7 linked regions of the Mus musculus genome follow. The protein of the gene in region 4 purifies or fractionates together with the protein of the main gene of each other region. This does not show direct contact. Links are inferred from orthologs where the notes say so. Each region holds a gene or a part of one and is shown on either strand. Other genes may lie near its edges.

The links.
Region 1: the proteins of Igf2bp3 (region 4) and Fus purify together in Homo sapiens (affinity purification with mass spectrometry; 3 studies listed by BioGRID and IntAct, with this or other methods). This does not show direct contact. The link is inferred for Mus musculus from reciprocal best matches to the Homo sapiens genes IGF2BP3 and FUS.
Region 2: the proteins of Igf2bp3 (region 4) and Hnrnpa2b1 purify together in Homo sapiens (affinity purification with mass spectrometry; 4 studies listed by BioGRID and IntAct, with this or other methods). This does not show direct contact. The link is inferred for Mus musculus from reciprocal best matches to the Homo sapiens genes IGF2BP3 and HNRNPA2B1.
Region 3: the proteins of Igf2bp3 (region 4) and Hnrnpu purify together in Homo sapiens (affinity purification with mass spectrometry; 3 studies listed by BioGRID and IntAct, with this or other methods). This does not show direct contact. The link is inferred for Mus musculus from reciprocal best matches to the Homo sapiens genes IGF2BP3 and HNRNPU.
Region 5: the proteins of Igf2bp3 (region 4) and G3bp2 purify together in Homo sapiens (affinity purification with mass spectrometry; 3 studies listed by BioGRID and IntAct, with this or other methods). This does not show direct contact. The link is inferred for Mus musculus from reciprocal best matches to the Homo sapiens genes IGF2BP3 and G3BP2.
Region 6: the proteins of Igf2bp3 (region 4) and Ilf2 purify together in Homo sapiens (affinity purification with mass spectrometry; 3 studies listed by BioGRID and IntAct, counting the BioPlex papers as one, with this or other methods). This does not show direct contact. The link is inferred for Mus musculus from reciprocal best matches to the Homo sapiens genes IGF2BP3 and ILF2.
Region 7: the proteins of Igf2bp3 (region 4) and Ddx5 fractionate together in Homo sapiens (co-fractionation; 3 studies listed by BioGRID, with this or other methods). This does not show direct contact. The link is inferred for Mus musculus from reciprocal best matches to the Homo sapiens genes IGF2BP3 and DDX5.

Annotation. Positions count from the first base shown.
Region 1 is NC_000073.6:127,966,175-127,970,278, forward strand, and holds the start of Fus (RNA-binding protein FUS), read left to right. Parts: upstream 1-1,304; 5' UTR 1,305-1,390; coding exon 1,391-1,403; intron 1,404-3,387; coding exon 3,388-3,412; intron 3,413-3,542; coding exon 3,543-3,697; intron 3,698-4,104. UniProt on the Homo sapiens protein: DNA/RNA-binding protein that plays a role in various cellular processes such as transcription regulation, RNA splicing, RNA transport, DNA repair and damage response. Binds to ssRNA containing the consensus sequence 5'-AGGUAA-3'.
Region 2 is NC_000072.6:51,467,046-51,471,176, reverse strand, and holds the start of Hnrnpa2b1 (heterogeneous nuclear ribonucleoproteins A2/B1), read left to right. Parts: upstream 1-1,331; 5' UTR 1,332-1,500; coding exon 1,501-1,506; intron 1,507-3,750; coding exon 3,751-3,786; intron 3,787-3,881; coding exon 3,882-3,992; intron 3,993-4,124; coding exon 4,125-4,131. UniProt on the Homo sapiens protein: Heterogeneous nuclear ribonucleoprotein (hnRNP) that associates with nascent pre-mRNAs, packaging them into hnRNP particles.
Region 3 is NC_000067.6:178,335,016-178,339,264, reverse strand, and holds the start of Hnrnpu (heterogeneous nuclear ribonucleoprotein U), read left to right. Parts: upstream 1-1,449; 5' UTR 1,450-1,693; coding exon 1,694-2,312; intron 2,313-3,106; coding exon 3,107-3,218; intron 3,219-3,309; coding exon 3,310-3,383; intron 3,384-4,249. UniProt on the Homo sapiens protein: DNA- and RNA-binding protein involved in several cellular processes such as nuclear chromatin organization, telomere-length regulation, transcription, mRNA alternative splicing and stability, Xist-mediated transcriptional silencing and mitotic cell progression.
Region 4 is NC_000072.6:49,212,155-49,216,256, forward strand, and holds the start of Igf2bp3 (insulin-like growth factor 2 mRNA-binding protein 3), read right to left. Parts: upstream 2,801-4,102; 5' UTR 2,318-2,800; coding exon 2,143-2,317; intron 2,022-2,142; exon of another isoform or gene 1,543-2,021; coding exon of another isoform or gene 1,491-1,542; intron 1,174-1,490; coding exon 1,113-1,173; intron 1,107-1,112; exon of another isoform or gene 1-1,106. UniProt on the Homo sapiens protein: RNA-binding factor that may recruit target transcripts to cytoplasmic protein-RNA complexes (mRNPs). This transcript 'caging' into mRNPs allows mRNA transport and transient storage.
Region 5 is NC_000071.6:92,080,945-92,085,175, reverse strand, and holds the start of G3bp2 (ras GTPase-activating protein-binding protein 2), read left to right. Parts: upstream 1-1,431; 5' UTR 1,432-1,602; coding exon of another isoform or gene 1,603-2,304; exon of another isoform or gene 2,305-2,426; intron 2,427-4,231. Other genes in the region: uncharacterized protein Gm46933, read right to left, coding at 1,603-2,304.
Region 6 is NC_000069.6:90,479,201-90,482,700, forward strand, and holds part of Ilf2 (interleukin enhancer-binding factor 2), read left to right. Parts: intron 1-1,403; coding exon 1,404-1,508; intron 1,509-1,792; coding exon 1,793-1,870; intron 1,871-2,163; coding exon 2,164-2,266; intron 2,267-3,500. UniProt on the Homo sapiens protein: Chromatin-interacting protein that forms a stable heterodimer with interleukin enhancer-binding factor 3/ILF3 and plays a role in several biological processes including transcription, innate immunity or cell growth.
Region 7 is NC_000077.6:106,779,856-106,782,675, forward strand, and holds the end of Ddx5 (probable ATP-dependent RNA helicase DDX5), read right to left. Parts: coding exon 2,614-2,820; intron 2,402-2,613; coding exon 1,995-2,401; 3' UTR 501-1,994; downstream 1-500. UniProt on the Homo sapiens protein: Involved in the alternative regulation of pre-mRNA splicing; its RNA helicase activity is necessary for increasing tau exon 10 inclusion and occurs in a RBM4-dependent manner. Binds to the tau pre-mRNA in the stem-loop region downstream of exon 10.

The sequences.
Region 1 (4,104 bases), on a different chromosome or scaffold from region 4:
TTTTTGTTCTTATCCACTTGGTAAACTCCCAGTAGAAATGTCATTCCCTCAGACCCATCCTAACCTACTCATTGCAAAATGAATTACCTGATCTCTGTGATCCCAGAGTCCCTGGTATTGGAATTACAGTTGGTTGTTTGCCCACATTCGGGTACTAGGAATTGAACCTGTGGTTTCTCTAGAGCAGCTGTCTCTCCAACCCCCTTGAATTTCGTTTTGTCCTTGAACTGACAAAAAGTGTTCATGCCTTTAAATGCTTTCAATCATTTCCTGTAACCAAGAAGCATTTTGTAGTTCCCCAGGCTTAGACTTTAAAGATCAGAAGGTCTGACCCTGAACTGCCTCGTACCTCATTCACATTCTTAGTCTAGCCGCTCACTGCTCTCATAAGATCCATCTCCCCTCCACCTCTGCCTAGCTCCGGGACTGGAGAGGTAGGCAGGGTCATGCACAGGCTAAACGATCGCTCTATCATTAAGCTACATTCCTCAGATTTCTTTACAAGATGATGATGGGGGAAAACCAGGACGACTGTAATTCCAGGATGCACAGGGCTAAGGCAAATAGGATCAAGGATTCGAGATCAACTGAGCGGTACTGAGAGGCCAAATTAAAAAAAAAAAGGGGGGGGGTAATTGTGGGTTTGAAGCCTCTTAAGTTGTATACATATGTGTTATTGTTGAACCAGCCTTAGGGCCATAGGGTCCAGACTAAAGCTCATCTTCTTCCAGGTTAAACGTCACAATCTATAAACCTTGTTAAGGTCTAAAGAACAGCAAGCCGAGGCATTCCTAAGTGAAAAACGAGACTGATCAGTGTGCTGTCTGTCAGGAGAGAATGTGGAGGACCAGAGCGACACTGCGTTCGACTCAGTTGCTAGGCCAGGGCAAGCGAAAGTATGCTGCATCTTCCCCAGTGAAAGTGGGGCCCAGCCGCTGGGCCGGTCGGAAGGATTTCGGTTCCCACACCCGGAGACTCCAGGCCTTGACTACACAGTTCCGCTCTCGGGCGCAGGGCCCTGGCACCGCCCCTAGCGGGAGGCCGGGTCGTACCATTCTGCCTCTAGTGGGGTAGAGGTGTGTCGAAGGCGAGCCCCGGGCGACGGACGAGAGCCACCGGCCGCAAGGAGAAAGCGCGTGCGAGTGTTTGGGAATAAAGCGAGTTCGTTTTCCCTCTTGTCTTCCTGAGCTCTCCGTATCCCCGGGGAAGGGTGGGGACCTGGGCGTGCCTCCCCCTCGCGCTTCTCCACTTGGTACGTCCCGGTGGCGCGTAGGCGGCAGGCGTACTTAAGGCGGGCGCGGGAGGCGGGGCCGCTCAGTCCTCGCGGCATCGCTTCGCGGTCGTCTGGAACTTTGTTGCTTGGCGGCCTGCGCTGCGCGCGTGCGCGGACATGGCTTCAAACGGTATGTGGGAGCGCGAGGCGGCGACGGCGCGTCCCTGCGAGGCCTCGTTCCCTCGCAGCAAGGCTTTTGGCTTTCGGCTGGGCCTGCGGTGGCGGGCGAGTGGGCTCCCCCACCTCTGGCGGGAAGCAGCGGGTGGAGGGAAGGGGAGGGCGGTGTCGCCATTTTGTTTGGCTCCCCTGGCGCCTTTGGCGCGGAGACCGTGGGTTTTCTCTCCTGGCCCGGTCACTTGAGTCGAGTGTTGAGAGAGACGCTGCCTGGCGACGTGGGGTGACCGGGGTGAGGGAGCTCTGGGTCTCCGCAGCTTCGCCCCACCCCCTCCCCTCCCTCCGTTCCCGGCCTCGCTTTGTCGCAGTGCTGCATCCGGGCACTTGGTGCGCGCACGCGCTCCTCTGGCCCCTCCCCCTTCTCGCCGCGGCCCCCCTCCCCCCCGCCAGGAGTTGGTCCGTTTTTTTTACTTTTTTCTTTTTTTCTTTCTTCTTCTTTCTTTCTTTCTTTCTTCTTCTTTTTTTTTTTTTTTTTTTTTTTTTTGTCGCGAGACCCTCGGCGGAAGACTTGTGGTCCGGTGCTGGCCTCGCCCTGCTCGCTGGGTCCCTTGGGAAGGGGCGGGGCCACCTCTTCCCGCCTCCGTGGCCGCGCAGCGGGAGCGGAAGCTCCTGGCTGGCCTGCGTGTCCGTGGGATTGGGAGGACCGCCAGGGGATGACCAACGGAGTCAGGGACCCCGGCCTGAGTTTCCCACTTCAGAGTTGAGTTTTCCTAAGGCCGGAAGGAAATCAGAGGAGTCGCTCTCCGAGGCCACACCCTCTCGCTGTCAGTTTTGTCCCAGTGCGGGGGTAGAGCTTGGGTTTCCTGCAGGGAGCTGCTGAGCTACAGCTTCCCAGATTGTTGAAAGTGCTGTCTGCTTTGGGTGCGCATGGTAGGCGGGAGCTCAGTTATTTGGAGCCACACGTCGGGAACCTTGGGAGCACCATGCCATTTGGGGGTTGGAGAGTCCCATTCTTCTAGCTGCTTCCTTGGGCTTGAACTCAACTGTGTAATAGCGCTGACTGTCAAAGTTAATCTTGACATCCGGTGATACCACCTTTCCTGTATACAGAGCTGCTGTGAAGATATAAAATGTGGTGACGTGTGTTGCAGGCCTTGGAAAGACCTGCAACAAGTCAAAAGGATTTTTAAACTTAAGGGATGATCTGTATTTTGAGTTTTTTTTTTTTTTTTTTTTTTTTTTTAAAGATTGAGCCAGGTTTGGTGGCACACACCTTTAGTTTCAGGACTAAGAGGTAGAAGTAGGCAGATCTATGTGAGTTCGAGGTGGTCTACATATTGAATTCTGGGATAGATACATAATCGAGACTTCTGTCTCAAAAAAGAAAAAAGGCAAAAAGGACATGATGTTGGATTTTTTTTTTTTGTTGTTGTTGTTTTTTTTCGAGACAGGGTTTCTCTGTGTAGCCCTGGCTGTCCTGAAACTCACTCTGTAGATCAGGCTGACCTCGAACTCAGAAATCCATCTGCCTCTGCCTCCCAAGTGCTGGGATTAAAGGCGTGCGCCACCACGCCCGGTCCGATGTGGGGCATCTTTAATCCCAGCATTTGGGAGGCAGAGGCAGATGGAGCTTTGTATGTATTAAATTGGAGGCCATCCCGGTCTACAGAGTGAGTTCTATGCAGAGAAACCCTGCCTCTAGATAGAGAACCAGTCCACCCACAGAGCTCTGTGGCTGTCATGCTTAGTGGTCGCTTGTTTAGTGGGTCCCAAGCAAGCCCTGGGTTCTACCCAGAACAAAAGTCTAAGACTTATTGGTGTCTAGAAATTTGTGCTTTCTTTGCTTTTTGTAATAAAACTTGGCCATTTTGTCTCATGAGGAACTAACTTATGCCTGTTTTTGTAGATTTGTTTCATCTGGAGTGCCTAGTACAAAAGTTGAAGAATTTATTTCTATTCTTAACTAAAATTAAGACCTTTTTCTTTCCCATCTTTTACAGACTATACCCAACAAGCAACTCAAAGGTGAGTATACTGTTTCTGGTCTGATGCTAGAAGACAGCAAGGGTGATTGATCTAACTTGAGTTTTATGTATTTCTGTATGCTTTTGTTCTTATTCTTTTAGTTGAAGATTACTGGTCTGTTTTCTTGTAGCTACGGGGCCTATCCTACCCAGCCTGGGCAGGGCTACTCCCAACAGAGCAGTCAGCCCTATGGCCAACAGAGTTACAGTGGTTATGGCCAGTCAGCTGACACTTCAGGATACGGCCAGAGCAGCTATGGTTCTTCTTATGGACAGACCCAAAACAGTGAGTTCTTAGTAGAACACATCTTCATTTCTTTATGAATGTTAACTTTTCTTAAACCTGAACAATACCGAAATTCCCACATTTTCCCTAAAGTTTTGTAGTCATTCTTTTAAAACAAAAATACTGATTTGTAATTGATTTTATATTGGACTATTTTCTTCCTGCTTACTATTTTTGTGAAAAAGCAAGTTTGCTAAAGAGAGAACCAGTTTAGAATGACGGATAGGAAGGAAATGGTCTGCTTGGGAATTCTTGAAGTTGGCTGACAATCTGTGATTCACAGAGGTGGTGCCATTTTTACCTCACAAGGGCAAAACATTTTTCTTTCCATATCAGCACATTTAAAATGTAGTTAGGGCCAGGAGTGGTGGCACACACAACTTTATCCAGCACTCTGGGAGGCAGAG
Region 2 (4,131 bases), about 2.3 Mb from region 4:
GAGAGCGCGGGCCTCGTGGTCAGCGCCTCCGCGGGGAGAAACAAAGGCGGCGGCGGGGGCTCAAGGGCACTGCGCCACGGGCCCGCGCCTCCCCCATCCGGCGGCGGCCACGTAGCCGGGAGCGCGCCGCAGCCCGGAGCCTCGGGCCTCGCAGCTGCAGAGCCTGAACCGCTCTCTCCCTGCGGGCCTGCGACGAGGCTGGGGGAGGGGAGGCCCGCGCTTTGTCTGGAGTCTCGGTAGCTGTCATCCGGCTCCCACCCTCATGCACAATTGTCCCATCTCCCCCACGCACCGGCGCGGCGCCCGCCTCAGCGAGGCCCCAGCCGGTTTCCCGCAGCCCGCGGCCCACGGGGCTCGCAGCCTCCCCGCAAGCTCGGACGCACGGAGCATCCTAAACCCCACCACACGCAAGATCGAAAAAAAGCAAAGGCACGAACTTCACCGCTCCGATGCTCAGGGCCGCGGATCCTGCAGAGTCTCCCGCCTGCGCGCTTCGGTTCAGCCACATCCGAGGGGAGGGGGCGCGGGCAGCTCCGCCGGGGGGGAGGGGGAGCACCGCCCACGCCCTGGCCGCGCGGGGCCCGCCGGGAACGCGTCCTGCGGGGGGCGGCGCGCGCAATGCTCACCGTCCGCGGCGTGGCGCCCAGGGGGTCTCCTGGCTGGGGGGAGGGGGGGGAAGGCGGGCAGGAAGGACCGCGGAGGCCTCTCTGCGTCTCGGAGCGCGCCAAAGCGGGGCTCCACCCACCTCCTTGCCCGGATCTTGAAGGCCGGGGAGATAAACAGCGGGGTTCTTTAAGCACCACCTCTCACTAGGCGCGGGATCCCAAGGCTTGTGGCATCCGGGGTGGTACTTGGACTAAAAGTCCTTCTGGGAGGGACCGAGTGAGAACCCCTTTGGGACGTGTAGAAATATTTGTGTGGTTCGAGAATATTTGTGCGGACGGGCTTGGCAAAGGCGTAGCTGCAGAGAGCACGCTTGGGTGGAGAGGGCCGCACGCCCCAGCGCCGGCCTAAGCCCCTCCCGACGGCGTTATTTCAAACTGCGCGACCGTTTCTCCGCTCCCTACGCGGAGGTGGGGGCCGGACCTAGTTCCGGACGTAGTAACACGCCGAGCGCGAGCCTTCCGCAATTCACGGAACACAGTTGCGCAAGTGATGTAAAGCAGTCCCGCTGTACCTAAAGGGGGAGTGTCACGTACTTGGCGTAAGGAGAGTGTAGGCCCTTCCCGCCATTGGCGGCGGTTAGGGCGTTTACGTAACGGCGTGACGTAAGCGGAGACGCGTTAGTGGGGGGAAGGTTCTAGAAAAGCGGCGGTCTCGGCTCCAGCGGCAGTAGCAGCGGCGCCGGTCCCGTGTGCAGGAGCTCCTTTGCGGCCCAGTTTCTTGGCCATCGCCTGCTCTCCCCACAGCGCCAGGACGAGTCCCGTGCGCGTCCGTCCGCGGAGGTCTTTCTCATCTCGCTCGGCTGCGGGAAATCGGGCTGAAGCGACTGAGTCCGCGATGGAGGTAACGGGTTTGAAATCAATGAGTTATTAAAAATGGCATGGCGAGGCCGTAGGCACCGCAATGGAAACCGGCCACCCGCCTCCGTGGTCCGGCGGAGGGGATGCGGCCACTCGAGTGGCGGTTGGCCTTGGCGAGTTTCTGAGGGGTCGTTGGAGGAGGCCTCTGATTGTCCGACCGCCTTCCCCGCCCTCAGCCGCCCGGCGCCATTTCCCTCAGTTGGGGTGGGGGATGGGAAGTGCCCGCCGCGACCGGGCTGGACCGCTAAAGTAGCGCGTGAGCGGGCCATCGCTGGCCTTTCGATGTGCGCGGGCCTAGGGGCTCGGTTGTGTTCGCGGCGGAACGTTTCTGGGGCCCCCCCGGCTTCCCGGAGCGAGTCTGCGAAGCTTCCCCTCCCCCCTCTCCCGGGAACCGGATTTGGCGGCCGCCATTTTCCCGTCTCCTTCCTCGCCACGATTTTGCTTTCAACGCTTTAGGTTTACTAGTTTGGTTTTCTTTTTTCACCACTGCGTAGACGTGTTTAGCGATTTTCCTTTCTTTTGGAAGTCTTCATACCGTTTCGAGGTGGATTTAGCGTTTTGAGCTTGGGTCTTCAGCGTCCTGCGCACCTCGCTAAAGGCTCTCTGCCTTCCCCTCGACGAAATGGCGCCATTGCTTTCTGAAGCCACCGAGGCGCGGGGTGGGGGCGGGGTGGCGGCGCTCCACGAGCTTTACTGGAACAGGCAGAGAGAACGTAGTACAACCGAGGCCTGGGCGGGTGGCTGAAGGCAGCGTCGCTGCAAAGAGACCGTTTTATTTTTCATAATACGTAAGATTACGGGTGCTGTAGTAAAGCACTTGAGCATTAGTATAGTAGGAGGAAGTCAAAGTGGAAAAAATGGGAGCGCTCATCAGGAAGCTAGGGAGGCTATGTTGAGTGCAGGGTTACTTTCCTTTTATTGCAGAACTTTTATCTGCTTAAAGGATCCTCGGATCGAAATAATTCAAATTATAAGCATTTTTAAGGGAATCTTCGAATTTGTTGGTAAAGTCAACGGATCCTTAGCACGTGGTGTTCACTTTAAGGAAGTGAAATAGCTGACTTTTCATAGTTAGCCTTCGCTTAAAGCCTGGTTCAGTGGACGAAAATCCACGTCCTGGCTATATAAAAACTTAGTTTGGGGTCACAGTGTTTGAGCGTGGTCATTCGGTTTTTTTATTTTTTATTTGTTTGAAATTATGATGCATCATTACACTGATAAGCATTAGCTTTCGAATTGAAAGGGGTCTCCTTGGTTATTTTCTTTGACTCTAAGCACACTTATAAATAAAATAACCTTGTTTATAATCGATAGTGGACGTCTGGTAAGTTTGGAAAAAACCCGAGGTAAGTAAAGAGCTTTTGCTTTCGTTAGTGATATGAAAAAACAAGGTGTATTTAATACTTGCAACTTAGTTTAAGGAAAGCCAATTTACTGACATTTTAGTAGAGCTACCAGAAACACTATTTGGAGTCCTGATTAAGGCTTTTGTAACTATTTTGACTATTTAAAACAATTTTGGTCGTTTTTATTAAACATTTCAAAACCTAAAAATTGTAAACATTGGCTTTTTGAGCACATTTTGGAGAAACTTACAAATTTAGGCTATACAGTAAAATAACGGATTTGTTTTATAATTTTGCTTTTTCATTTCGTTGTGCAGTCATAGGTCCTGGATAGTATGACCTAATTTATGAACATCTTGATAAGTTTTTGTACTTAGCTATTGGAAAGCCAGTATTAAGTGCCTGACAAAACCAGATTTAAGGTGATATCTGGAGTTTCAGCATTCTTCATGGAGCTTGTTTCAGAGTTGCAGGATTTTTTTTTTTCATCTTGAGATACTTACAATTAACACCAGAGGGGGCAGCTCAGGGAAAAGCAAATATGCCACTTTTCAGAAACTGAATCTTGGAAGTGGTGAATTTGGAAACAGGTTTTTTAAATTTTTTTTAAATCTAAAAAGTAGTAAATTTTGGACTTGGGTTGTAGAATTTAATGAATTACAAAAGAATTCTTTAATACCCTTTAAATGACCTAAGAGCTGGGTATGGTTTTTCTGAATTTTTTTGAAGAAAATCTAAGAAAGTTTACGTGAATTAGAAGTTAGATCGAATATTAGTGACTTTGAAACTTGTATAGCTCAGGCAATTTTTGGTGTAACACAACTAATATGCAGTTTAACATATGGTTTAAATTTGATGTAAGTTTTTTTTCTCCCCCCCAGAAAACTTTAGAAACTGTTCCTTTGGAGAGGAAAAAGGTACTCTACCAGCAGGTCACCTCATATTTAAGAATTTAATTTCCTGCATACAAAGAAAGTGTAAATAAAAATTGAAATGGTATTTCCCTTTGCAGAGAGAAAAGGAACAGTTCCGAAAGCTCTTTATTGGTGGCTTAAGCTTTGAAACCACAGAAGAAAGTTTGAGAAACTACTATGAGCAATGGGGAAAGCTCACAGACTGTGTGGTACGTACGTTAACTCTGAAAGTCTGGCTGTATGTTTGGGTGTGAATACTAGGGAATACCAGTATCAATACATTCTAATTTATATTGCTACCTAATGCCGGGAAATTAAATGCTTATCTTTTGGATTTAAAGGTTATGC
Region 3 (4,249 bases), on a different chromosome or scaffold from region 4:
CAATGAATTTTATTGACTGAGTTGCTTAGTTGCTTAGCTTGAGACAGGGTTTCTTTGTGTAGCTCTGGCTGTCCTGGAACTGGCTTCATAGACAGGGTGGGGGTGGGGGTGAGGGGATGGGGGTGGGTGGGTGGGGTGCCTCTGCTTCCTGAGCGCTGGAGCCAAACTTGGGTGTCACCACTGCCTGCCTGGCTGACACTGAATTCTTGATCATCTTACCTGTATCTCCCAAGTGTTGAAATTATACACATGTACCACCAAGCATAGCTTGGGTGCAATCTACACAGGAAGGCCCCAGTGTAGAAATTAAATTCTATATAAAAGTTTCAAGAACACAACATATTTAATGCCAGAAAACAAATCATAATTTTTTTTCTTTTCTTTTTTGAGATAGGGTCTGGTATTCAACCCAGATAAGCCTGGAATTTACTAAGTAGCCCAGGCTAGCTTTTAACTCTTGATACTTCTGCCTCACTCTGCCAAGTAATAGAACTACAGGTGTTTTCTTTTTTTACTAAATCCCAGCCTTTTGTTACTACCAGTTTGTAGACAAGTCAGCAGGTATACAAACATGTTTAGAGTGGCTGAAAAAACAGGGAGAGGATCAAAGTGCATAATCTAGCTGGGTGCTGGCTGTCTTCCTCATCTGTAATTAAAGGGTCTCCAAACTGGTGGATCAGATTTGCAGGGGACAGAGGCCTATCTTTATAGTACAACGAGGGGAACTTCCATGAAAATCTAAGGCTTACTCAAAGGTCAATAGAAAATACGGTGAGTAGCAACACAAGGCCCGCTCTATATGGCTGTTAGGCATGGTGGAGTACAGCAAGCCTCTTTCCCAAACCTTGCACCACTGGTTGGGGAAGAGACAAAAGAAAGGCTCTGGCCTCGCCCTTGCGGAACTTAAAATAAGTCCGACTGGCAAGGCAGGACTTGTAAAATTTAAAAACGCAGTTAAATGGTGGAAAAACTAAACAAAACACCACCTTTGCATAACAATCGCCTATGGGTGTTCTACAGGGCAGCGGTGGAAACTTGAAGAGTTTTTTAAACCTAGAGCCGGAGGGACAAAAAAAAAAACAAAAACCAAAACAAAAAAAAAAAAACCCAAGAAACAACAACAAAAAAAACAACCCGAAAACCAAAAAACTAAACTAAGATGGAAGAAAGGAGGTTGTTCTCGAGTGGAAAATGCCAGGTGAGGACTGAAGGCGGGTGGAGGAGAGCCTCCGCCAGGACACAGAAGGCAGAGCGCCGGTGGAGCGCGGCGGCTCAAGAGCCGGAAAGGCCGGCGGCCACTGCGGCGGGTCCGTTTAACCGAAAGGTGGCTTCTAAGAGCCTCCATTTGCGCGGTCCGGCCCAGCGCGGAGGTCGCGCAGTGGGGGCGGGGCGGGGCCTGCGCGCGCAGCCGCTCTAGCGGGCCTCGCCTCGGCAGGGGGCGGGGCGCCTATATTACGTGCGCGGCGCCGCCCCTGCGAGAGGACGTTGCGTGCTCGCTCGCGCCGGGCGAGTCTCCGCGTCTTGCCTCGCGAACTCGGTGAAAGGAATTGGCGCCGTTCGACACCAGGCGGGTCCGTTCTGCAGCAGCACTCAGCCATCTCCAGCCGCAGCCGCCGCCCGGGCCGACCAGCAGCAGCCGCCGCCGCCACAGGCCGAGGGAGCCAGCAGTCAGCGGGGAACCGGGGCCCTCAACATGAGTTCTTCGCCTGTTAATGTCAAGAAGCTGAAGGTGTCGGAGCTGAAGGAGGAGCTCAAGAAGCGGCGCCTCTCCGACAAGGGCCTCAAGGCCGATCTCATGGATCGACTCCAGGCCGCGCTGGACAACGAGGCAGGAGGCCGCCCCGCCATGGAGCCCGGGAACGGCAGTCTCGACCTAGGTGGCGATGCGGCCGGGCGCTCGGGAGCGGGCCTAGAGCAGGAGGCCGCGGCTGGCGCCGAAGACGACGAGGAGGAGGAGGGCATCGCCGCTCTGGACGGCGACCAGATGGAGCTGGGCGAGGAGAACGGGGCGGCGGGGGCGGCTGACGCCGGCGCGATGGAGGAAGAGGAGGCAGCGTCGGAAGACGAGAACGGCGACGACCAGGGCTTCCAGGAGGGGGAAGACGAGCTCGGCGACGAGGAGGAGGGCGCGGGCGACGAGAACGGTCACGGGGAGCAGCAGTCCCAACCGCCGGCAGCGGCGGCGCAGCAGCAGCCTTCCCAGCAGCGTGGTGCCGGCAAGGAGGCCGCGGGCAAGAGCAGCGGCCCCACCTCGCTCTTCGCGGTGACGGTGGCGCCGCCAGGGGCGAGGCAGGGCCAACAGCAGGCGGGAGGTAAGAAGGCGGAAGGTGGCGGGTGAGTGTTGCGTGATGGGTGCGCGTGGCGGTGGGGACCGTGCCCCAGGCCTGCCGGGGCCCCTCGGGGCGAGCGCCGCGGGAGGGTGGGGGCGGGGGAGCCCCGGGAGGCTCTGCTCGCCATGCCGGCGGCGCCTCCATTATGTATGTCGGGCGCCGGGGTGGGGGGAGCGCTGCAGCTGCCGCGGTGGGGGGGCCGGCCGGGCGGGAGCGCCGGCCGCTGGGGCGCTGCGTGCGCGCGGTCCGGGCACATGTCGGCGGTGGGGGGAGGGGAGAAGCCCGAAGGTCCCGGAGCGGGCGGGCTTTGGCGGCTTAGCGCCGCGGTATTGTGCAAGGAGCGCAGGGGCTCGTGGTGACGTCACTTCCGGCGGCAGGCGCGGGGAGCGGGGCGGAAGCTCAGTACAATGCGGCGGCGGGGCACGCGGGCTCGTGTGGGGGAGGGGAGGTGGGCCCAGGCTTCCCCCCCCCTCGTTTGAGCGCGGCCGGCGCACGTGGGCCCGGGCGGTGTCCCGCTTTTTTTTTTTTTAAACTCTTTTTAAAAAATGCTTTCTGGAAGGTTGCGGTAGGCTGGCAAGTTCAGTCTTCAGACTGCGTCACTGTGTCCAGTCCAAGTCCAGACTTTTTTATTTTCATTTGTCGATTAAAAAAGTCAAAGAATCAGTCAGAAAAAAATAATCAGTAACAGCTCTTGAGGCTCGAAACACAAAAGGTGCTTAACTGCATTATTTAGTTTTCGGCCTGATGCTTTAAGGCGGTGTTCTGTGTCGTTATAGGAGACGGCAAAACAGAACAGAAAGGTGGAGATAAAAAGAGAGGCGTTAAAAGACCGCGAGAAGATCATGGCCGAGGGTATTTTGAGTACATCGAAGAAAACAAGTACAGCAGGTAGAGGCTCCTCACCCAGTTTTAACAGTCGCCCGCTCTTTTTGTATACAAGGTGGGGAAAGCTTTATCAGGAGACAATTCTGTCTTTCAGAGCCAAGTCTCCTCAGCCACCTGTTGAAGAAGAAGACGAACACTTCGATGACACAGTGGTTTGTCTTGATACTTGTAAGTGAGGCGGACTTTCCCGCTCTTTGCTAGTTTTCAAGTGCAGTGTTAACATTGGTTTTAAGTGTTAGGAAAAATGTGTTGATCTTAAAGTGGAAAAAACCAGTTAAGAAACTTATTTTAAAGCAGGAAGGTAGTAGCTTAATGCTCAGGCTACAGTAGTTTAATATTAATACCACTTCAGTTGTATTGATTTAACAAGCTCTAGTAATTGGTAATATTTACGAGTTGAAACTTCTCAGTACTTGGGGGATGTAAAACTAAATAATTTTTGCTCGGCTATCAGAAACTTGTTTTTTTAAAAACCTGCCTGTAACTTGTCCTTAGATTACATGATTTAGTTTTTTCTCGTGGAACTATGTTAAGTGAGCTATTTGGGCTAGTTGAATACTTACTGATTTTCCCATTAGCACACAAGTGTATTCCCTATTCTAAGGATTGTAATATTAACTTTCAATAACTGCTCTTTTGTTCTCAATTCCAGTTCAGTAGCTGCTGCTTTAACATAAGTTGATTTCTTCCAAAGACCTGGGGCAGCAGCAGTGGGCTATCTGAGCCACTAGCTTTCTTCAGCAGCGAATGGTATCAATGGCAGCACTGTAAATATGCTACTTAACCCAGTTGGGTTGCAATTGAATATGAGGAAGTATTGCAAACCATGAAATGGGCTTTAGCTGTCAGATTTGTATTTTTATCCTTTAAAGAAGTCAGTTTAGTATTTAATAAGAACATATCTTTTGGTGTGAGCAGAACAAAAAAAGTACAAATCAGTGCTTAGTTACAGGATTTCACTTGGTAGAAGGGGTTAAAAGCTTGGATTCTCATGTTTTCCCTGTACAAATTGTTCAGAGCCCTGAGAGTTAAGT
Region 4 (4,102 bases):
AAACAAGGACTTAAAAAGGAACCTACAAGTATCCACACTAGTTTATTTCTAAAACGAGGAGTGTGAAGTGATTCATGTGGAAGAGAGCTTCATTCAAAACAGTCACACAGCATTCTTGCCCTCTGTCTCTGCAGGGCAAATCCCTCTGTCCCCCAGAGCACACTCTCAGAAACACTTAACCAGATACACACAGCCCTGGTTTGAATTAACTTCAGGCTTATTGTTTGCTCCAGGTTAGGAATGGGGGAAGACTGAAAAGCCAGCCAGAAACCCTAACCCCACCTTGCAAAACCCAGCAGGCTAACCTCAGTCTTTCCAGTTAAGAGTTACAGAGTCGGGGGGGGGGGGGGGGGGGGGGAGGGCAGGGAGGGAGGGGAAGGGGGGCGCTTCTCCAAAAAGCTTCAGTAGCTAAAATAGCCTGCAAATATTTTGTAAAGTGACAGCTACAGATGCTCTCATAGAAGAGAAATCTCAGTGAAGTTGCAGATTCCCCCAGCCTTCACCGTCTCTTGGTGATTATTTGTAAGCAAAATACACCAAGGGACAGGAGGAGCTGGAACAAAGGCACTGTTAGGAAAAAAAAAAACAACAACAACAAAAAAAAAAAAACAACTTTGGAGTGTTTGAAAGGCCCCAGGACCCCAGCATTCACTGTGTTCCAATGGCCGCTGGCTGGCCAGTGAACCAGGGCAAAAGCAACTGTGTTCCTCCTCCTGTATTAGAAGCGCCCACCACGGCGGACCAGCTTCTCCACATCTGTCCTGGACCTGTCTTCTAAATCCCGTAGGTTCCCAAAGACTATTGGCTTTTGAAACTCGGGCTGCCAGTTGAGACCTAAACCTGCTCTGCCAAGAACATGTAGCTGTGAGAGCTTCCTTGACAGGCTTTTAAAACAGCAACAATAACCCAGAAGCAGGGGCCGCAGGCAAGCCCCCATTTACGTCCCAGAATTATCAACGCGCGCGCACACACACCTGCCATAAACTTAAAGGCAAGCAGAAAAAGAGCTAGCTGAACCGTGGCCCCAGCGTGTAAGCCAAAGGGTCCGAGTTTGCATCTGTGTTCTGTGCTTCCTCCCTAAAAAGCGGCCAGAAAAGGGTAAATCCGCTCACCTCTGCCGTTTAGGGACCGAGTGCTCAACTTCCATCGGTTTCCCATGTAGTTCCATTTTACCTGTGAACACACAAGAGGCAAGACGACGGGCTAAATTCAGCAGCTTTCCCCACCTTGAAATCTACAGTCTTTAAGAGAAAACACACCCTGCTTCAGTGACCTCAGCAGGGCCCCAAGATTCCCACCCGACTCAAGGACAAGGGAGGAGCAGGGCAAGGAGAGGGTGCAGAGCTGACCCTTCGGGTGGGTGTGGCTTTTTAACTTGCAGAAAGCTGGGGAGGGAGAGCAAGAGTCAGGCTCACCACTTGGGTTGCAATTTTCGCCTCCTGACCCCCTCCAAGGGCCACCCCGCACCCCAAGGTCTGCAAGAGACACACCCCCAACAAACAGCCTGCCATGGGGGCGCGCGGCCTTCTTTCTGGTCCACATCCAGGTTGGCCTGGAGCACTGGGCGATGGGATTAAAGAGCCAGGGTGCCAGGAGGAGATTGGGCGGCCGGGGTGCTGGTCCACGCGCGCTGACCCATCAAGGCGCCGGCCTCGAGTCCAGCTGGGGACGGTGGAAACCGAAAGGCACGGACAGCTGCTCTCCCCTCGGGCATCCAGGCAGAGCGCACTCAGACACCCGGGCCGCGGCTGCGCGCACGGGCCGGGACTGCGGCGCCGCGCGTGGCAGGGCTGCCGTTCTGGCAACAGCCGGCCGCCGCCGCCCACCTGCCCCTTTCGCTCTAACGACCCCGCGAGGTGGACGCGGCGGCGTGGAGCGGGACCGCCTGGACGCGGCCTCCCCCCGGGCGTAGGCTCAGGCCACTTTCTGTTCTCTACGGCTGGGGGACAGCGACCAGACAGAGGGCCCGGCGGGCGTCCACGCTGGGCCCCAAGGCCCGCCTGGCCCGGCCTGCAGCACGCGCCGCGCCGCGCCCCGCGACTGACAGCGCGTCCCCCTCCCCACCCCCACCCGCCCCGCAAGCGGGGTCCCGGATGGCAGCTGCGGAGACGGGGAGGCCCCGACCACGCGCGCGGGCCCCACCTGAAAGCGCCTCGATGGCCTTGAGGGCCCAGCCCTCGTCCGGGCAGTCCACGAACGCGTAGCCCGTCTTCACCAGGAAGGGGCCCGCCACCGGGATCTTAGCGTCCTTGAAGACACTTTCCAGGTCCGCGGGGCCGGCGTGGTCGCTGAGGTTCCCGATGTACAATTTGTTCATTGTGAAAAGGGGTCGTTTTAAAACCCGAGGAAAATGCTAAATTAAAAAAAGCACCCACGGCGGAGGATGGAGCCGGTGGATTTTGTTCCTCTCCTCTTGGCTTTCAAACCCACACAGTGACCCAAGCACGGGAGCGGCGGGCGAAAACCAGATCCCAGGGTCCTTTTTCCTCTTCTGGGTATTAAAAAAAAGAGAGAAAGAAAAAGCCTAGCGACGAGCCCAGCGTCGAGTCTTCCTAACTCTGGGGAGGAGGCGGGATTAGCGAGAGAAAGGAGGAGGCGCGGGGGGAAACTACTTTTTGTCTCTTCCTCCCCAACCCCTTTGGCAGCGGCCAGCGGGCTGTGAAAATATCACACTACGTGGGGCAGGCGCCGCCTCCCCGTAAAAAAAAAAAACCCCGAGGGGTGACTGGCAGCGGCGAGGGGAGCGGGGCGGGGGCAGCCGCTCCGAGTGTCCGGCTTTTTGAATGAGCCACGTGTTCAAACTACAAATCAACGTCTCACGTGAGGAATCCCAGCGCCTCAATTAGAGTGGGTTTCGGAGGAAAGAGAAAAAAAAAAAAAAAAAAAAAAAGCGAGAGGGGGAGGGGAAGCGAGATTGGGCGAGGAGGGACCCCGAGCTGGAGCCGGAGCCGGAGCCGGGGAGGGGGTGGAGAGCGTCCAGCCGCTGCAGCCGGCGCCAGGCGCGATGGGCACGGCGAGTTTCCAAAGGGTCCGAGCCTCGGGAGGGTCAGACGAACGATCCTTTTTCCTTAAGATGAGGAAGCGGTTAGGGGGTCCCGCGGTTGCAGTTACCGTAGTTTGTAACCATTCGATTTTTAAAAAATGGGTCACTTAACAACGAAATCTGAATGACAATCTCGAACTCAGTCGGTGGCTCTGATGACCGGGGAAAGTAGAACCCGGGGGCAGAGCGCCGCTCCCCTCGAGGGCCCCGGGGACCGAGCAAGCGGGGCGGCCCGGGCCGGCGTGGGGGAGGGGAGCCGACGTCCTGGGCGGGTGTCTACGCGACACCTCCTCCGCCTGCGCTCCGGGTGGCTCTCCGCCTCGCCGTTCATTGGCTGCTCGGCTACGAGAAGACTCTGGATAAATGAGGCCGGGGGCGGGCTGGCCGCGTGGGGGAGGGGCGCGGGGCGGAGGCTGTGGGGCTGGGGGTGGCCGAGTGGGAAAAGTCGGTACTTAAAGGGAAACCCTCGCTTCCTGTGGTTTTTCGAAGGGGGAGGGCTGGGTGTGGGGGAGGACTGATACTTTTATTTAAATAATTTTTGTTAAAGAACTTGGGACTCTAAGGGAACCCTGTTCAGCGTCAGCCTAAGGTGGCGGCCGCGCTGGGAAACTATTCCTCGGCTCTTTCCGCCTTCCTTTGACTGTGAGAGCCATTCATAATTTTCCCTGTAGGTAACGAGCACAATGGTGGTTGGGGGGTTGGGTCTGGGCCCGGTGGAGCCTTCCTGATCCTACTAAATGTGAGCCGGAGAACAGGAATAGGGAAAAAAGGGCAGTACCCCTGTCCTTGTGAAAACCTTCAACTGTGGCTTAATGGTTGTGTGCTCTACTCAAAGGCTTCAAAGATAACTTGTGATATATTTTTAACAGGCATTTTATGGAAAAGAGAAATTGCCGGGTTTGGATGACTGAAATTAAGCTCTATATAGCCTGAAAATACAGGCAGAAATCTAATGTTTTGCTACTCTCGCAAGTTGAAAAATGTGAATAGAGAAAATATGTGCTTCATACTACAAACGCCTTCAGCAATTGATAATTTGATATGGTGTTCTCTTTCAAA
Region 5 (4,231 bases), on a different chromosome or scaffold from region 4:
AGTATTATCGAGAGAGTCTCCTTATGTACCCCTGGCTGACTTAGAATCTGCTTCGTAGACCAGGTCAGCCTAGACCTTGTGATCTTCCTGCCTCTGCTTCCCAGGTGCTGGGATTAGAGGTATGTAGCCCCGAGCCTGGCTGAGATGAGTAATACGAGCGTGTCCTTAGGGTAAACCGTCTCGTAAGTCTCACTTTCCTCATCTGTAAAGTGTGCATTCAAATAGGTAATTACGTAAGTGGGTTTTTGTGAGACATAAGTGACTTTTATAAAATACCAGTAGCGTATCTGGTCTATAAACACTGTACTTAAAAGGTAATCTGCAGAAGTAATGCATTAAGAAAAACCATCTCAGAGTCATTTAATAAATGATGGTCTGCCTATATATTTTGCATATAAAAATTATTAAGCAATCCAAAATAATGCCAGTGTAGATTTTGGAGGCTCAAGTACCAATCAGCATTGCCTTTTGTGAACCTTTTTTTTTTCTTCTTCTAGGAAATCTCTACTGTGAGGGAAAACTGAGGATGTATTTAATCCTGCATTTTGCTTGATTAAAATGTGTTCTATTCCTCTCAATTGCCCTTCCGTTCCTTTCACCGTTTCATAGCTTCATTCCCAGTTTCTTCTGCTATCTTGAAATTGAAAACATTGCTATTAGTGGCAAAGTAACATTTGGTCTACAAAGGCTTTTTTTTCCCCATGAATCAAGGTTCATGAAGCAGTGTTGTTTCCATAACTAAGTCCCAGTGGCATAGATTTATAAGTGGCTTTTTTTTTCTTTTTTAAATTTTAAGCCTTTCAGCCTTTGTTCCAGTAAGTTCCATTTAAGGATGAAGCCACCAAGGCCATACAAAAGCCCCAAGCCCATACAGCCTATGTCATACTTTCCCCATACTCCATAGCTCGGCACCCTTATTTAAAACTAGCTGTTTGACATTGATGAGAAAGACTTTTAAACCTCCATTTCCTAAAACAGGCTAATTAAGCAATACAGGTGAGCTCACTGTGCAGAGTTCAAAACTGCATTTTAATGCTCCGATAACGCAGCAACCAGGACCATTACTAAATTTGCTCCCTCTTATCACGAATAAAGGCTCCAGGAATAACCGTTTGTAAAAGCCACTGGTTAGCGGCGAGCCATCTTTTTTGTTCGCGCCACCTGAGAGGACAGGGAGGCTTCAGCATCACTGCAAGAGAAAGGCAGCTTCCTTGTGACGTCAAATCAGCGGGCTCTCGCCCCGACTTTAGGCCGGTTCCGGTTCCCTGGCTTTCCGGACGCCCGAGCGAGCGAGCGAGCGAGCGCGGCGCCGTTCTGCGCGTGCTCCGCAGTGGGACGCGAGAAGGTTGGGTCTAGCTCTCCAAACTGATGCCTGATTGGCTGGCGCTGTGCTGGGGGGTTCCCTAGCCCTTTCCGCAGGGGTAAAACAATAAGAGGGGGCGGCGGCAAAGGGGGCGGGACGTCCGTGTTCTTGGAGCTCGTTGCAGCTCTAGGCTCTCGGGAAGAGGTGGCTGTGAGGGGCCCCGAGCTCGCGGCTCTCCGGATTCCGAAGCCTCGGGTTGCTTCGAGGGAGGAGAATCTGCTGCGGCCGATCCCGCGACACTACTGACCTCCGCGCGACGTGCCCGCCGCCGCTGTTGGTTGGAGGTGTGTACGGGGGCCGAGAGGGGCGGTCGGTGTGGTGGTCGGCAGGGGACATTTCCCTCCGCTCCGCGGCTCGCGGCAACCGTCCGGTGTGTGCGCTTGGTGTCGGGGTTGGTGCGGCGGAAACATTGTTCTCGCCGGCTGCCTACGCCAGCAAGAGTGCGTGCGTGCGTGCAGAGCCGAGCCTTTCCTGCAAGGTGAGCGGAAGGCTGCGTGGGGAGGAGGATGACCTGCGCGCGTGGTGCAGAGGAGGGCACAGGTGGGGCTGGGGATTGCTAGGATGAAGCAGCCCGGGGGTACCCTGTCCGCCGCCAGCTCCCAGAGCGCGCCAACGGGCGCCAAGCCGCGAAGCGGGGCAGTGGGCTCCTGCAGAGGCGGTTTCAGGGTAGGAAGCCCACCCGCCTGGTTCCTCCGCTCGCCGGCGGCCCTAGTTCCCGGTCGTCGCCCCGCCCGTGGGGGAGGGGAAGGAGGCCGTGTCGGCGGAGGCAGAAGCAACGCAGATGCGAAAGTAGCGGCCTCCGGGCACCATTTCTGTGCCCGGAAACTGAATCCGGGGTTGAAGGTGGCCGCCGCTCCACTTGCCGGGTGCTCGGCGTTTCCCCCCGCCCTCCCCGGATTATCCCGAACGTGTTCGGATACTGGGACTGTAACGTGCGTCTCCTACGTCCTTTTTCTGCAGACAATCTCTCCTGTTACCCAGGAATAAAAAGGACGTTTCAGTGCTTTGGGAATGGGCTTTTCTCCCCCTGCTATTCTTTGGGGTAGGACAAGGGGAGAAGAACGTAAGTTTCCCTAAATGGTGTGGATTTCGTTAGTGGAGTCTGATTGAGGTTTTCCTGCGTCTCTAAGGGCAGATTTATTTAGGTACCCCTGTGGTGCTTTGGGGGGGGGGGGGGGCTGTAGGGTCGTGTTCACAATTTCTACTCCCAAGATATAACTAGTTTTAAACCAAAGCACAAAAAACATTGAGGAGATGCCTTTTGCTTCTTAAAAACAAAACACGTGCAGCAAATCTGAATCAAGGAAAATTGCCCCCTTCTCTCCGGGTGTGATTGTTGTGCAGTTGATTAGCTTAAGGTTTCTGGTTTTTAGATTCTAGACACTATACCTCGCTTGTTCCAAGTACCTAGGCAGGGGAACCATTAGCTGCAGTTTAAAAGGATGCACTAATTCTAAGTGAGGATAGTAATTTCTTGTCCCAATTCCATATTTGGCAGTTATTGTAGCCCTAGGCATGTGAACCAAACTTTGAGTAAACACTTGATTTAGCGAAATTCAGTGATCCCTTTATGGTCTTTAGGTTTGGACCCAGTGTCCCACCACTCTGGAGTTAGAGGCAGGTGGTCTTTTGAGTTCGAGGCCAGCCTGGTCTACATACTTCCACAGGACAGCCAGGGCTACTCAGTGAGATACTGACTCAAAAAAATGGGGGAGGGGGAGTTCGGTCAGTTTGGACCTTAGGACGACTGAATTATATATTGTCCCTTCGTTACCGTTTTCGGACATATGCACTATCTAATCTCAGTGTATGAAAATTGTTTTGTTCTGACAAATTGATTGTGAGAACGGCTTCAAAGTGTGTTTCCCAGTGGCTTGGTTTATTGTGATGGTTTAGGTTATTGAGAATTCAGAATCAAAATATTGGCGGGCATGGATGCACGATTTAATGTCAGCACTCAGGAGGCAGAGGCAGGCAGATCTGTAGACTACAGAGAGTTCTGGGACAGCCAGGGCTACACAGAAGACCTAGACTCAAACAAAGCACACAAAACTAGAATTAGCGATGGGGGAAGCAAGCCTCAGATGGAGTACCGGAATGTTTGCAGAGTGGGTGGCTGTCTGTAGGTAAAGAATTCATTCGATAATTTAGAAGATTAACTTTGGCTAAGAGTCTGAATGACATGTTCAAGGCACCAATTTGCCTTGCTAGTACCCAGACCCAACCACCATTAGCTGATGATGAAGGCAGTTTCTTGTTCAGCCTTGGCCTGTGAACCTAGGGCAAGTTTACTATCTAGACTAAATGTTAACTCAATGACCTGAGTAGCCGGATTAGTAGGTGAGTTCTGGTTTTGAAGAAATTGTTGGCATTGTTTGTAGCAGGGCAGTGTGGGCAGCTCTAGCTTGTATTAGAGATTAAAATACCAAAATTTTCAGTATCAGCTACTGGAAATTTACAGATACTCATAGAGTGCCCTTAGATTCTTGACAGCAGTTTTTCCTTTGTTGCAGAATTGTCATTACACATTATGAATATTAGAAGTTATTTTCTAAACTGCCTTAATTTGTCCTGCTTTTCTGTTGAGTGGACATGAGGATGATGAATGACATCTTTGAACGTTTTACACTGAAGCACAAGTTGGATTGCTTGTGAACAGAAAGAGGGTGGAACAGAGTTGAGAGTTTGGACCTGGTTACTACACTGGCAGATGTGTGTTTGATAGCTGATAAAGTAAACCTGTGTGTTTTCCCCAAACTCTTAGCAAAAAATTGGGTTTTTTTGTGCCTTGGTTTATTTTAATCATCTCTGGATTATCTATCCAAAAATTGTTACTGTGCTAACATTGGGGATATTTCTTGCTGGATT
Region 6 (3,500 bases), on a different chromosome or scaffold from region 4:
TTGGGAGGCAGAGGCAGGTGGATTTCTGAATTCGAGGCCAGCCTGGTTTACAGAGTGAGTTCCTGGACAGTCAGGGCTATACAGAGAAACCCTGTCTCGAAAAACCAAAAAAAAAAATATATATATATATATGAGTACATCATTGCTCTCTTCAGACACACCAGAAGAGGGCATCAGATCCGATTACAGATAGTTGTGAGCCACCATGTGGTTGCTGGGAATTAAACTCAGGTTCTCTGGAAGAGCAGTCAGTGCTCTTAACTGCTGAGCCATCTCTCTGGCCCGTTTTTTTTTTGTTTTGTTTTTTTAATTCTAAAGATTTATGTGTGTGTGTCTGCATGTATGTGTACCACACACATGCCTAGTACCAGAGGAAGCTGAAGAGGGAGTTAGATTCCTTGGAACTGTAGTTAACTGGTGGTTGTGAGACCCATGTGGGTGCTGGGAACTGAACCTGGGCCCTTTAAGAACAGCCAGTGCTTTTAACTGCTAAGTCATCCCTCCAGCCTCTATTATTATTATTTTCATTATTTTAAAATGATATACTTTTATATACATTGGTGTTTTGCCTCTTTCTATATGTATATATGTACTATATATTATATACATATGCATATATAATCTGTGTGAGGGTGTTAGATCCTCTGGAAGTGAAATTACAGAGAGCTGTGAGCTGCCATGTGGGCACTGGGAATTGAACCTGGGTCCTCTACAAAAGCAGTCTGAGCCATCTCTTTAGTCCCTCTATATTTAAGAAGTTCTTTTTATTACAGTCAGTACTACATGTACACCACAGCAAGTGTGTGGTGATGGATCAGAGGACAACTTGTAGGATTTAGTTTTCTGTGTGGGTCCCAGAATTGATGACTTAGGCCTTTGTTGCCAAGCTATCTCACTGGGTCCTGTTTATATATTTTTGAGACCAGATCTCATGAAGCTGGTTTTGAACTGCTAGTTCTCCTGTCTCTTTCTTCAAAGGGTTGGGATTACAAGGATATAACAATTTTCTTTTCCTATTGTAGTATCAAAAAAAAAAATCTTATGTATTTTCTTTCTCAATTTTTTTTTTTCTTCCCAAGACAGGGTTTCTGTACTTAGTTCTGGCTGTCCTGGAACTTACTCCGTAGACCAGGCTAGCCTCAAATAACTCACAGAGATCCTTTTTTTAAAAGATTTATGTATGTAGCTTATGTATATCAGTGCCCTGTCTGCACATACATCTACACACCAGAAGAAGGAATCGGATCCCATTACAGATGGTTGTGAGCTACCATGTGGTTACTCAGAATTGAACTCAGGACCTCTGGAAGAGGAGGCAATGCTCTTAAACCGCTGAGCCAGCTCTTTAGTCCCTCTTCTATGAATTATTTTTGATAAATAACATGATTTGATTTCTGGTCTAGTGTGAAATGGCTTTTCCCCGGGTCAAGCCAGCACCTGATGAGACCTCCTTCAGTGAAGCCTTGCTGAAGAGGAATCAAGACCTTGCCCCTAATTCTGCTGAGCAGGTATGTGCTTTCCTTGGGCTGTGTCAAAAGCCTCGAGTTACGCTCTACCCTATTCTGGTTAAGGAGAGTGCTGTCTTGCCTGCGATTATAAGCCAGTGGTAATCACTTGAGGCCCTTAGGTTTGATTCCCATCAAGAATGCTGTCAGAGCCCAAACTCCTCTGGGTGTGTAATTATTCATCTTCCTTCTTATTGTATGTGGGGAGTCTGGTGATGATGATGACATTAAATATATATTGTGTGTAATTTTTGGCTTAGGGTATTTTTGCTTTGTGATGTTTTCAGGCTTCCATCCTTTCTTTGGTGACAAAAATCAACAATGTGATTGACAACTTGATTGTGGCCCCAGGAACATTTGAAGTGGTGAGTTTTTGATGACTTAATTCTAAGAAAGGGTATCTCTGGTGGTATGGAAATTTACTTGGCTCTTGCCTGTTAATCTTTCAGTTGTCTGTTATCCAAATTAAAGCCTAAAATGGAAAAGTACAGAGAAATCACTGGTCAGCTAGCCATGCCCAGGGCTCTCTGTGGTTATCTGGGGGATGTGATTTTATCATTGCTGCTTCCAAATCTGGGTATTTAGAAGCAGCTGAAATGGTTCTATGAGGACTCAACACCTTTATTTTCTTAAACTTACTTGAAATCCCTTTCAACAGCAAATTGAAGAAGTCCGGCAGGTAGGATCATATAAAAAGGGAACAATGACTACAGGACACAATGTGGCTGACCTGGTGGTAATACTAAAGATCCTGCCAACATGTAAGTGTATCTCTTATCTTTCTGCGTTGGAGATGGTGCACAGGGCCTTGGGCATGCTAGCTTGTCATGGTATGCCTGAAAGCACAGGGCTCCTCAAGGTTTTGAGTTTGTTACTGAATATGTAGTGGCCATAGCAGTCAGGTCAGTGTAGGTCAGAGGTTAGCAGGAGTCTCAGCCCACTCTTTTTCTTTTCTTTCTTTCAAAGATTTTAATGGATTTATTTCTATTACTGTTAAGGGTGTATGTATGTATGTATATGTATATGTATATGTATATGTATATGTATATGTATATGTATATGTATATGTATATGTATATGTATATGTATGCATACCATGTGCATGGCCTTGGGCTTATGGAGGTTAGAAGAGGGCTTTGGATTTCCTGGAACTGGAGTTACAGATGATTATGAACCATCAAATGGATGTTGGGAACTGAACCCAGGTCCTCTACAAGAGGAACAAGCACTCTTAACCTGAGGCATTTCTCCAGCCACCCCAGCCCACTTTCCTAAGCATTGAGATTAGATTTAAGGCTAGTAATAATTGAAGCCCAGATTCATTTGTTTATTTCGTCATTATTTGTGTGTGAATGTATGGAAGGAAAATAGCAAATATATTATTTACTTATTGTTTGTTTGTTTTGAAACAAGGTCTCACTATGTAGCCCTAGTTGTCTTCCAGCTTGCAGAGATCTGCTTGTCTCTATGTTCTGAGTGTTGTTATTAAAGGTGTACACCATCATACCAGTCTGTTTGTTTGTTGTTGTTGTTGGTGTACATGTGTAAGGTAATAGTGACGTACACCTTTAGTCCCAGCACGTGGAAGGCAGAGGCAGCCAGATATCTGAGATCGAGGTTACCTTTACACAGGGAAACCCTGTCTCAAAAAACGAAAACAAAAGAAAACCAAAAAAGAGAAAGAAAAAAAGATGTGTATACCCGAGAATTCTTATTCTGAGTCATTCAAATTCTGTCCAGGCTTTTATTACACTGGTAAGAGTGTTCATTCTAGTTGAGTAAGCTTCAGTCTGTGGGGTAGAAATAGAGATGCTAAGTTGTTTACTAATAGAGGAAATCGGGCTCAGCGGTTAAGAGCACTGACTGCTCTTCCAGAGGTCCTGAGTTCAAATCCCAGCTGCCACATGGCGTCTCACAGCCATCTGTAATGGGATCCAGTGCTGCCTTCTGGTGTGTCTGAAGACAGCAATGGTGTATTCACATACATGAAATAAA
Region 7 (2,820 bases), on a different chromosome or scaffold from region 4:
ATACTAATGCTGGCAAACATTATCACCAATGGCCACTCCACTCTCTCCCGGGTGTGGCTGGACAGACAGGGTGACCAGGTCTTAAAAAGGGCTTCGGGAATTTATTAACCACCTCCTTAAAAAGAATTTTTTTTTTTTTTTTTAAAGATTTGTGAGTTGCTGTCTTCAGACACACCAGAAGAGGCCATCACTACAGGTGGTTGTGAGGCACCGTATGGTTGCTGGAAGAGCAGTGCTCTTAACCTCTGTACTTCCCTTCTCGTAGAAATCAGTTAATACCTGACTAGGACAAAGGGGTGTTTTTGATACTGGAGTTTGATTATAAGGTGCAGGACTGTTGTGGTAGCTCACTCCTATGTTAACATATGCATAAGGGACAATCTCTGACTTCAAGGCCAGCTTGGCCTATGTATCAAATTCCAGGATAGCTGGAATGGGGAAGGCGGGGGTGCAAAAACCCAGGTAAGAGGCCTCTACGCGAATAAATAAATGAAGAGAATGGGGAGAAAAATCACATTTATTAGTTAAGACAACCACAGGCTGGACACAACACACATGCTAAAAAGTGGACTGTCTTTTAAAACTTCAAAGGTAATTTTTTCCAAGCCCCACAATCATTTCCATAATTATTTACAAAATAAAAGGTCCACATTAAGACATTGAACAGTAAAATATGTAATAAATGCTCCAATCTACACCTATACTTAAAAATCATGAATCTGACTAGCCATGCCATTGAAAACCACTCAGTACTAGAGGATGAACCAGTTTTCAATGTTATCAGCCCTGGAAAACACGCCCAGCTCCCACCCCCAGCACATTCTATTTTGTTTTAACATTTTATAAATAAGGCATTAACAATAAGCCCATTTTAAAAACAAAAAGTTAAATAACTTCCTTTAAGACTTTTGTCCTGGGCAAAAAACACACCAATTTTTTGGGAAGACATTTAGACCTACTTATAGCCATTCTGAAACAAAGCTGTTTGCTGGTGATCCTACTTAAATCTAAAGCTTTCCCCCCAATCCTTCTAGCTGTTAAGCCCATAGTGAACCTAACCCGAAAACTTTACTGTGCTTTTGGTTATGTCGTCTTCCTTGTGACTAGCCTACAAGACCCCTAAAATCCCCTGAAATAATGTGGAGACATTCCTGACTTCCAGGTGTGGCTATAAGCACTCTGGCAAGTCCTCGAGGACTAGGAACCTACAAGGTAATCCTGCACTAAAGACACAGTGCACACAGCTCTTGGGCTAACAGTCTTTCAGCTTCGCACATTTCGGCAGTTGACAACAAAACCAAGAGATGGAATAAAATTTTGATAAAGCAAAAATGTCATTACTTAAAACTGTTTTGCAAAAGAAATCAACATGTATTTATATAGTTACTGTCCTGTAGTTCACTCTTAAGGAAAATAGGCTATTAAATGACTTACTTCCCTGATACTGAAAAATGACAAAGCTTTTATCCAATAAATCTGGAATTATAAAATCCATTGTCTCTAACTTCTTCCCATACAAACAGATCATCCTAAGGGCCTTCTGAGTTCCTCTCCTAAATCCAGGAATGGGAAGTAGTCAACTTTCCTTGTGTAAAAATAAACACCAAAACAAAAATCCCCCCCAAAAACACTATCTAAGCCAAGTTGTACATGACATTATATATGTAAAATAAAGTACAATTTCACTTAATTCAGTCTTCAAATATCTTTTATTGGAAGGCCATGCATTGCCTTCATTTATTGTATTTGAAATCACTGTACAGTTACTTTTGTGAAAACACTGCCTGCATTTTCTAGTACAAAAAAAACCTAAAAATTGTTTCAGGAATGTAGAGAAATATCCAACTTAAATAGCGAAAAAAGTGCACCATAATTACTGCTGCACTGCAGTCATTTCTGCATTTCCCATGTTTCTTAAATAACTATCTTGTCTGATAACACACAATATAAAGAGCAATTATGAAAAACAGACATTTACATATACTTCTAAAGTCTTATTGAGAATACCCTGTTGGCATGGGATAGCCAATCATAGGCGCAGCAGCTGCGGTAGCAGGATATGCATATGCCTGTTGGTTCATACCATTGTGCATATTTGCAACATTACTTCCATATTGCTGAGTGCTATCATAACCGTTCTGGTAAGTCCCTGTTGGATTACCAGTCCTAAAACTGGTCTGTATGCCAGCAGATACAAAATTACTTCCAAAGCTCCCATTGGTGTAATTTGCAGCACTGTAAACACCATTCTGAGTTTTAGCCCCAAAATCTCTCTTAAGCAGATTAGAGTAGCCTCTGTCATAGTTTTCCCTGTCTCTAAAGGTATTAAATCCACCCCTTTTGCCTGCAGAGTATCTGTCACGACGATCGTCCTTCATGCCTCCTCTACCCCTGGAACGACCTGTCAAGAAAGTAAGTGGAAATTGATCAATTTTTATCTGTGGCATAAGTGTGGTAAGATAGGAGAGAGTTAGATAGCTCTATTTATGTTGGGTCTTAAGTGCTTTTAGATTCTTTAGGTTTCAAAATAAGAAGTACTCATTCTTCCGATCCCACTTTGTAGACAAGAGGTAACTGCCACCTACCAGAAACATCTCTTACGAAGATCCTTACCTGAACCTCTGTCTTCGACCAACTGAAGCAACTTGGGATTAATTGCTTGATTAGCTTCCCGAAGCACAGAGATAAGGTCGCTCACTTGCTTTATGTTATTAGGTGTAAAGAAAGTGTATGCTGTGCCTGTTTTGGTACTGCGAGCAGTTCTTCCAATTCGATGAATATAATCCTCTGAGGAGTTAGGGTAGTCATAATTGATGACAA